3 linked regions of the Oryza sativa Japonica Group genome follow. The protein of the gene in region 1 interacts with the protein of each later gene in a pairwise test. Links are inferred from orthologs where the notes say so. Each region holds a gene or a part of one and is shown in the gene's direction. Other genes may lie near its edges.

The links.
Region 2: the proteins of WUSCHEL-related homeobox 4 (region 1) and transcription factor PCF5 interact in binary tests that used the Arabidopsis thaliana proteins (3 or more experiments, as listed by UniProt). The link is inferred for Oryza sativa Japonica Group from reciprocal best matches to the Arabidopsis thaliana genes WOX4 and TCP4.
Region 3: the proteins of WUSCHEL-related homeobox 4 (region 1) and dehydration-responsive element-binding protein 2E interact in binary tests that used the Arabidopsis thaliana proteins (3 or more experiments, as listed by UniProt). The link is inferred for Oryza sativa Japonica Group from reciprocal best matches to the Arabidopsis thaliana genes WOX4 and AT3G57600.

Annotation. Positions count from the first base shown.
Region 1 is NC_089038.1:33,610,247-33,613,641, reverse strand, and holds WUSCHEL-related homeobox 4, read left to right. Parts: upstream 1-1,497; 5' UTR 1,498-1,657; coding exon 1,658-1,903; intron 1,904-1,981; coding exon 1,982-2,263; intron 2,264-2,354; coding exon 2,355-2,537; 3' UTR 2,538-2,850; downstream 2,851-3,395. UniProt on the Arabidopsis thaliana protein: Promotes differentiation and/or maintenance of the vascular procambium, the initial cells of the developing vasculature.
Region 2 is NC_089035.1:6,231,745-6,235,501, reverse strand, and holds the start of transcription factor PCF5, read left to right. Parts: upstream 1-1,320; 5' UTR 1,321-1,654; intron 1,655-1,661; exon of another isoform or gene 1,662-1,761; 5' UTR 1,762-2,095; coding exon 2,096-3,472; 3' UTR 3,473-3,574; intron 3,575-3,688; 3' UTR 3,689-3,757. UniProt on the Arabidopsis thaliana protein: Transcription factor playing a pivotal role in the control of morphogenesis of shoot organs by negatively regulating the expression of boundary-specific genes such as CUC genes, probably through the induction of miRNA (e.g. miR164).
Region 3 is NC_089037.1:3,994,650-3,997,513, forward strand, and holds dehydration-responsive element-binding protein 2E, read left to right. Parts: upstream 1-1,103; 5' UTR 1,104-1,248; coding exon 1,249-2,205; 3' UTR 2,206-2,352; downstream 2,353-2,864. UniProt on the Arabidopsis thaliana protein: Transcriptional activator that binds specifically to the DNA sequence 5'-[AG]CCGAC-3'. Binding to the C-repeat/DRE element mediates high salinity-inducible transcription.

The DNA of each region.
Region 1 (3,395 bases):
AAATATGTTATTTTGCAAGGAAGCATGCACCTCGTTTTCCTGACTGTACCCAGCAACTTTTGCACGAGAATGATGTGTGTCACTCTCTGTATCATTAGCTAAGCTCTGGGATGATGGGCTTTACTTACCTGCAGGTAGTACTGCTGCTTTTGCTGATATATTGCCGGGGGTTATCAGGGTTTCAGGAAAGCCATGTTGTGTACTCCTACATGTAATGTGTTCATAGAGATTACAGGGTACTGCTGCTACATATGCAGTGTGGAGGAATATTTTTTCAGTGCGTACTGGAGGTCTGGAGCCATGGCTCTGTTGATGTGCAGTATCCTGTTGCGAGTTCAACGATAGATGGAGGCGCTAACTCCAAGGTCAACCTCAGCATCAATCATTCTGGGTCTCGCTTTCGTTTGCATGCTTTGCCAATCATATATACTAGCATGTTGCCGCTTCATCGATGGCAGATATGGAGGTTTTTGATGGTCTCCTCATCGATAGCCCCCTCTCTGCCTGCGGCTAACCTAGCTAAATATATAGAGCAAATATATATGGCAAATCGATCTTAGAGATTGCGGACAGGAATATACTTTTCTGTGTTTTGCTTTGCTTTGCTTCTAGCTAGGTCTATATGATCATGCGCAATCATATATGCAGGTATATATAGATGGAGTTGTGACTAGCTAGCTAGTTATAGAGAGAATAGCACACAATATGCAATGCATTCAGACTAGCAGACAGCAAAGTAAGCAGGGTAATTACTTGTCAGACGAAGACTGTAATTTTAACACACTACAAAGTTCATAAATATTTCATTTGAGATATGACTATATGAGTCGATCAGATCGAGCTTCATATATACTAGACCATATATAGTACATATAACAAAGATATTTTTTTTTTATATTCTGGAGCAAATATGTAACTACATTTATGATGGCCAAATACCTGGTCAGATCTTGATCGCAACAGAGGGGGATCAGCAAGCTTGCTGAATTAATTGATCAGGTCAAGTCGTTAAAGCAGACAATTAGCAGTAAACTAAATATACAAAACTGAGAACAAAACTCGTACTGTAGCTAGCTACTCTTTAGCAAGCTCACATCTTTACGAGGAAAAACTGTATTAATTAGCTAAAACATCATTTTTCTCTCTAAAAAAAGGTATAGGTCAATGTACAAGTAACTGGAATTCGATTGGTATTCACAAATCACACATTCACGCTTGCTTTAAAAGGCATTGTAAAGGAAGATTAGTTTTCCCATATATTTCTTGTCAGTCGTCGTCATGAATTTCGACAGGAAAGGTGAAACAGGGGAGCTTTAGCTCCATGCGAGGGAGAATTTTTACCTTTATTACAGCTCCCGCTTTTTCGTGAATTTGATGATTACGATTTTACGAATGCTGACGCCTTTCATCACCAATCTACACATTCCCTGTCGCCCCCATGAAAGGGCACGCCTTTAATTCTCGACTGTTACCTCGATATCTCACACAAAACACACTCAAACCCTCGCTGCCTAGCTTTATCGCCTTCTCCCCGTATAAAAACACGCCAAGATCACGCTTGCTCGCTTAGCCCTAGCTACAACAATCTAATCTATCTCTGCTTCCAATTCCCATACAAAGCTAGAGCTAACTCTGAGTTAAACTGCGACATTACACAATGAGGCTTCACCATCTGCATGTGGCCTACCTGGATCACAAAGCGTCGTCGTCCTCGTCGTCTCCGGCGCCACCATCCATCTCCCCGTCGTCGATCCCCGGATCGGCCGCCTTCCCTGCTTTCTCCTTCAAATGCCTCCGCCCGCTCGCGCCCAAGATCTCGCTGCCGGAGCCGAGGAAGATGATCGCGCCGCCGGACTTCGTCGTCCCTCGCGCCAGAAACGCTTCCAAGCTGCTCAACTACACTGTTAGACACATCAAACCCTACTTGTTCTTGATCGATCGATCGATCAGGTTCATGATCGTGTATATATTTGGTTTGCAGGTGCAGGTGCCGGCGGCGGGGACGACGAGGTGGAACCCGTCGGCGGAGCAGATAAAGGTGCTGGAGATGCTGTACCGCGGCGGGATGCGGACGCCGAACTCCGTCCAGATCGAGCGGATCACGGAGGAGCTCGGCAAGTACGGCCGGATCGAGGGCAAGAACGTCTTCTACTGGTTCCAGAATCACAAGGCCCGCGAGCGCCAGAAGCAGAAGCGCGCCGCCCTCCTCACCCTCAGCACGCTCGACCCTTCCTTGCTGCCCGCTACCGCTAACGAAACCAAAGTAATTAATCAGCAAATTAACCGAATTTTAATAATCCATGAATCTGTAGACATTTCTGCCCGGCTAATAGACATTTTTTGCGTGTATATAGGAGGCACCGGAGAAGAAGGAGAAGGACGTGGAAGATGGATTGGCGAGCTGCAAGCGGCGGTGCAAGGCGTGGGGTGACGGCGCCGGCGATGGAGACGCGGTGGTGGCGACGGAGGCGGCCGGCGGCTGCACCGACGAAGTGACCCTGGAGCTCTTCCCGTTGCATCCCCAGGGAAAAGCTTAATTAGCTGCATGTGCATATATGTATACTCCGTCGATCGTCTGTCACGCATGGTATCATCATGGATTGGCCGGGTTGATGTTGATTGTGGAAATTAAATTCCCTCGTCTTTGCGTGTGCATTGTGTTGTAGTTGGTCGATCGTGTGTTTGGATTGCTTTGAACATATAATGCATTGTGTTGTGGCCGGGTGCTTGATCGGAAGAATATAATCAGTAGTTCCAAACTGGAATTAGCAGTTGCTCATATACATGCATGAATGGTGTAGAGATCACGCAACTATATATGCAAGGTTTGGATATGCTAATTAGGGCTTACACACGCGCATGCATTTCACCACCGGTTATTGATATACGTACTTATCATATATTCACATGTGTATGACATCATCCAGGCATGTAAGGGTGATTGCTATTTTTAAAAGGTCAAAGACACAAACAATTAAGTACATGTTCATATATCAACAAGTCACGTCAATCTCATAACATTATTTCATACTCCCTCCATTTTTTTAAATATGGCGTCGTTGATTTTTGGACATACATGTTTGACCATTTATCTTTATGTGTAGATACGAAAAACACAAGTTATGCGTGTACCTTCAATGGAAAAAATAAAATAAATAATAGTTGTGTTTTTTAATAATATGAATGATCAAACATATATCTCAAAATAAACAATATCATACATTAAAAACTAATTGAAATACTAGTTAGCGTACTTGGAGATTATTGATGCCCCCGCCTCCCCTTTTTTACTTAATGGGAAATAAAAGGTGCATGTATTATCCATCGGGTTTAGTAGTCCTTTTTTTATGGAATATCCATGCTAGCACAAATCTTAATGCAAATCAGACGATGGA
Region 2 (3,757 bases), on another chromosome or scaffold:
TTGAACCATCGTACAACATTATAAATTGGCCTTTTCATTCTCATATAGGGCTGAATTATGTTTTTAGCATTCTTCCCTTTGAGATGTACTACGGCTTACCCATAGCAGCCATGAAATTGAGCACTCCAACTAAGCAGAAGAACTAGGGAAATCTCTCTCTCTCTCTCTCTCTCTCTCTCTCTCTCTCAAAAAAAAAAGAATAAGAAGAATAAAAACTAGGGAAATACTCCCTCCGTTTCAGTTTATAAAACAACTTTGGTCAAAGTCAAACTGTTTCAAGTTTAAATAAGTTTATAGACAAATATAGTAATGTTTATAATACTAAATTAGTTTCATCAAATCAATAATTGAATATATTTTTAGAATAAATTTGTCTTTGGTTCAAAATGTTACTACCTTTTTCTATAAATTTGGTCAAACTTAAAACAGTTTGACTTTGACTAAAGTTAAAACGTCTTATAACCTGAAACGGAGGAAGTACAAGTTTACACTATCCTGTATGTAGATGTGCCAATGAGGGGTGTTTCCTTCTATCTTTTTTGAACAAATCTATGGGCACCATCTCGGTCCCTCGACCCGTTATGTTTTTGGCATCAAATGAACTAAAAATAGCTTGATCTTATTTCCATGCAATGGATCAAACTTGGGGCAAGTTTGGACAATGACGCCACATAAAACCCTCTTTTAGCAAGGTGGGGCTACAAATAAAACACACCATCAATCTATAAACAAGTATCTCAGGGGAAAGGTCTCACATTTGAAACTAATATTGCAACTCTCGACTTTCCAAAAAGGAAAATCATTAACCATTGGCATATACCCTTGAAAAAGCTCCAGTTGCCATCTTACTTGCCTATGCAACTGCCCAACTACAAGAATTATAGTACAAGCACTCTCTAAGAATACCACAAGTTAGCTTCTGAAGAGCATAGATATTCATGTCATGACAAACATGTCTACTGTACAACAAAAAAGAAAAATCGGCTAAGTAGATCACTCCACAATTGTGCGAGTAGATACTAGCGGTTACATATACACGAACGTATATATAAACATAGTTAAAATTGCTATATATTACCATAAAGCTATCGAGATGCGCTTAATTCCTTATCCATGGAGACTAGGGTGTGTGCCTCCGGTTTTTATTTTTTTTCCCAAAGGCACGTACACGTGTGTGTGTTCGAGTTTCATCGCGATTCGATCGTTGTCTACTGTTTTTTAATAATACAACAGATGTCCTAATCATCCACGCATGCATAACCCACAATCCCCCAGCATCATCCATCCCTTCCCAATTCCCAAATCACCACCTCTCTTCATCACTTGGGCTCCAGCCTCCTGCAGCCCCAGCCAAGCTAAGGTAAGCTCCATCTGCTTCTGATACACACACTCACACACAAAGCAGCAGCCAGCATCAGCAGCAGCAGTGTGAAGCAAAAATCTCTATCTCTCTCTCTCCTCACTAAAGCACAAATCCTACTCTTATCATCCTGTCTTCTTGCCTCCCTTCTGCCTCCTGCTCACCAAGCTTCCCACACAAACCCAACAAGAGAGTGAGAGAGGAGCAAAAGCTTTGGCTGGCCGTCCCCCCTGTTAAAATGTGATGTCCAATCCATGGGATTGCGTCTAGTTTAGTCCCCCACTCCTCTCCTGGGTCAGTCCCTCCCTGGCCACCACCTCTTCTTCTTGCAGCCTCCTCCTCCTCCGGGGCCTTCTTCTTGTTGATTCTTTTGATGGTTTTTGTGTTTCTTGTCGACCTAGTTATGGGATCCGGCGAGGTGGATGGACGCGCATTGGAGCAGCAACAGTAGCGGCGGGGAAGAAGGCGGCGGGGGATCTGGATCCGAGGCACCACCACCACCGGGTCACCCACGGCGGCGACGGCGGCGGCGTAGGAGGAGGAGGAAGCGGGGGACAGGAGGAGGCAGATGAGCAGCAGCAGCAGCAGCACGACCACCACCGGCTTCTCCAGCTCCACCACCACCAGGGTGTGCAGCAGGACCAAGAACCGCCGCCTGTTCCCGTCTTCCACCTCCAGCCGGCGTCCGTGAGGCAGCTGTCGGGCTCCTCCGCCGAGTATGCCCTTCTCTCGCCCATGGGCGACGCCGGCGGCCACTCCCACCACCACCAACACGGCTTCCAGCCTCAGCTCCTCTCCTTCGGTGGCGTCGGCCACCACCACCACCTGCATCAGTTCACGGCGCAGCCACAGCCCCCCGCCGCGTCCCACACTCGGGGTCGTGGAGGTGGAGGTGAGATTGTCCCCGCGACGACAACTCCACGGTCGAGGGGCGGAGGCGGCGGCGGCGGCGGGGAGATCGTGGCGGTGCAGGGCGGGCACATTGTGCGGTCGACAGGGCGGAAGGACCGGCACAGCAAGGTCTGCACGGCGCGCGGGCCGCGCGACCGCCGCGTGCGGCTGTCGGCGCACACCGCCATCCAGTTCTACGACGTGCAGGACCGGCTGGGCTACGACCGCCCGAGCAAGGCGGTGGACTGGCTCATCAAGAACGCCAAGGACGCCATCGACAAGCTCGACGTGCTGCCGGCGTGGCAGCCCACTGCCGGCGGCGCAGGCGCGGGCAATGCCGCCGCGCCGCCGTCCTCCTCGACCCACCCCGACTCCGCCGAGAACTCCGACGACCAGGCGCAGGCCATCACCGTCGCGCACACCGCCTTCGACTTCGCCGGCGGGGGCAGCGGCGGGACCAGCTTCCTCCCGCCGTCGCTCGACTCGGACGCCATAGCCGACACGATCAAGTCCTTCTTCCCCATGGGTGGCACCGCAGGCGGGGAGGCATCGTCGTCCACCACGGCGGCGCAGTCGTCGGCCATGGGTTTCCAGAGCTACACGCCTGACCTCCTGTCCCGCACCGGCAGCCAGAGCCAGGAGCTCCGGCTGTCGCTGCAGTCCTTACCAGACCCCATGTTCCACCACCAGCAACATCGCCATGGCGGCGGCGGCGGCGGCGGCAATGGCACCACGCAGCAGGCGCTCTTCTCCGGCGCCGCCAATTACTCGTTCGGCGGCGGAGCCATGTGGGCCACCGAGCAGCAGGCGCAGAACCAGCGCATGCTGCCGTGGAACGTGCCCGACCCCGGCGGCGGCGGCGGCGCCGCCTACCTGTTCAACGTGTCGCAGCAAGCGGCGCATATGCAGGCGGCGGCTGCGGCGCTGGGTGGCCACCAGAGCCAGTTCTTCTTCCAGAGGGGACCCCTTCAGTCCAGTAACCAGCCCTCCGAGCGAGGATGGCCGGAGACCGTCGAAGCCGACAACCAGATGAGCCACCACCAAGGAGGGCTGAGCCCCTCCGTGTCGGCGGCCATCGGTTTTGCCGCTCCCGGCATCGGCTTCTCCGGCTTCCGCCTCCCCGCGAGGATACAGGGCGACGAGGAGCACAACGGCGGCGGCGGCGGCAATGGCGACAAGCCGCCGCCGCCGTCGTCTGTCTCCTCGGCTTCTCACCACTGACCGCAGCAGTGGCGAGCAGATGACTTCACCACCACCAATCCACCATGAGCAAACACCACACCATGTACCAGACTATCAGCTAGCTCCTCCACTTCCATCACGGTGAGAAAAAAAAACCGAGAATTCTCATGGCTAACCTGCATTAGTTCAGAATTTTTCTCGTGTTAGTTAGCTGATCAATCTTGTGCTGCTGGTTTTGGTGTTCTTGACATGCAGGAATTGTCGATTGCATTCGGGAGGAGCAAAGTTTGGAGGTAGCACAAGTGCACTACTACTGATGCTACT
Region 3 (2,864 bases), on another chromosome or scaffold:
AGAAGTGAATTCAGCAGTGTTGGGAGTTCCTTACATACTCCCAAGTCCCAACACTGCTAAATACATAAATCACAGAAGTACACTACATGATCACACAGAAGCATATACAGTACAGTACATTTTTCATAGATTTGTGGTGGTATCCTATCCTGAATTGCTCACCGTTGGTCAGAGAGACAAGGAGACCGATAAGCTCAGATTGCAGGAGGCAAGAGGGCTAGAGAGCCGAGAATCATGCGTTCATGGAAACATGGGCACATGCACCCTGTCCGACGTGGACGAGAAGCATGTGAAGTGGACGCGCTCGTGAGAGCCAAAAATGCTGTGAGGTGGATCTTTATACCTCGCATTGATACCATGGTAATATGGTAGTAAACTGTGTACATGGAGCATCAACATGCACGCCATGCTATCCGCCTATCCGTACGTACGTTCTCTCGGTGCATGCACAGATCGGTAGTGCCCAGTATGCTAATACTACAGATACCATCTGTAGTATATTATATATCAAGTATGCAAAGAGCAAAGTAGTTCTCTAGGATTAGTGCCCAATATGCTAATTAATTCTGCAGATACAATCTGATGTAAACTTGTTCAAGTTTACAAGGATTTTTTTAGAGATAACGAAGATTATGACTAGCGAGATATATCTACTACTCAAATTCCAATTTCCAAACGTTGAACCTACAAAATCCATAGGTTATCTTGTTATTAAATTTGCCATCGAAGCCTCTTATAATTACAATAACCTAAACCAGAAAGAATCGTTTGCAACAATGCACTGCAGAGACTGCAGCACATCATCCATCCTAGAGATGCCCCCAACGGTCACATGCGCGCTAAGCTCACAGGTCCTCAGAAAGCGCGACACCACCGTGCCAACACAACGCCACCACCATGCATTCTCCCCTTCCGGCCCGGCCGTGACAACATTTAACACCCAACCCCATCGGATCACACTACTTATCCCGCGCCGCGCTCCCCCTCTCCCGTCTCCTCCTACTCAGTCACACTCCCCTCACTCCCACTTCACTCCACCCCTCGCGCTCCCACTTCAAAAACCTCGCGCCTCCCCCCATCTTTCGACGACGAGTCGTTCAAACTCCAAACTCCAACCCAAAAACACCGCCCGCGCCTAGCTAGCTATATGTGTTTGCGTACGTGCGAAACCAGGTGAGATTACGTGCGTTTCGCTGTGATTTCACGTACGCCGGCTGCGTCTCGCGCGCGCGCGCGATCGATCGCCGTATGGAGAGCTACGGGAGGAAGCGGGCGTGGAAGAAGGGGCCGACGAGGGGGAAGGGCGGGCCGCAGAACGCGGCGTGCGAGTACCGCGGCGTGCGGCAGCGGACGTGGGGGAAGTGGGTAGCCGAGATCCGCGAGCCCAACAAGCGGACGCGCCTCTGGCTCGGCTCCTTCGCCACCGCCGAGGAGGCGGCGCTCGCCTACGACGAGGCCGCGCGGAGGCTCTACGGCCCCGACGCCTTCCTCAACCTGCCCCACCTCCGCGCCGCCTCCGCCGCCGCCGCGCACCAGCGCCTCAGGTGGCTCCCGGCCTCCGCCGCCGCCGCCGCCGCAAGGGGGGGCGCCGCCGCCGTCCCCGCCTACGGCCTCCTCAACCTCAACGCGCAGCACAACGTCCACGTCATACACCAGAGGCTGCAGGAGCTCAAGAACTCGTCGTCGTCGCCGACCAAGCCGCCGCCGCGTACGCCGACGCGCGCCAACCCGCCTCCGCCGCCTCTCCCCACCTCGTCGCCCTGCTCCACCGTCACCAACAGCGTCGGCTCCGCGGCTCTGCCTCCGCCCATGTCGTGCTTCCAGGCGCTGGAGCAAGCGATGGCGGCCACGGCGGCGATGGAGAGCGCGCCGTGCGACGACGACGCCGCCGTCGTGGGCTTCGGCGCCGACAAGCCCCAGCTCGACCTCAAGGAGTTCTTGCAGCAGATAGGCGTGCTCAAGGCCGACGACGACGGCGCGACAGGCAAGAACGGCGCCGTCCACGGGGACGACGGCGAGCTGGCGGACGCGTTTGGCTTCGGCGGCAGCGGCGAGTTCGACTGGGACGCGCTGGCTGCCGACATGAGCGACATCGCAGGAGGCCACGGCGGCGCGCTGGGCGCCAATGGCGGGTTCCAGATGGACGATCTGCATGAGGTCGAACAGTTTGGCGGGTGCATGCCCATCCCTATTTGGGACATTTGAAATCTCATCGGTAGTCATGCACAAGCTTTGAGCAAATTTCTAGCCTATCTGCATGCAGATGGGTCATTTCAGTGATGCAAAAGCTTTAATTCTTCCAAGTTCATGTAGTCTGATCATCTGATGGGTAACGAGTTTTTTGTTTAAGAATGATGGGTAATGAATCTGCATGCGTTTCATGAATCTGCAACAAAGTCTTGATCTGTTAAGTGCAAAAAACTATTCTAGAAGTAGGGGAGATCAGAGCTTGTTTTTGCATACCATTTAAAACCTTGTTTGGATTAAGAAAAAACAAAACGCAGAAATATAGATATAGAACAATAAACATAGAAATGCACGTGTAAAATAGAAGAATTTTTAAAAAAAACATGTATAGGTGTTTGGAACGCATGAATTTTATGAAATAAGACTCTTGTTGCTTAACTAACAAGGTAATAAATTCCCTTTTTATGGTTAAAAATCACCTCATTGTTGCTCACTTCACAGGGAAAGTTTCCCTTAGCTTTGGCCTTATTTTTCCCTTGATTTCGACTGAAGGAGTAAAGAATAGAGAAACTCAGGAAAAGTTTCCGAAAGAATTTTTATGCCATTCATATATTCCGAACACCACGGTAGGAAAGAAAAAAAAACTATAGTTTTCAATTCTTTGATTTGAAAATCCT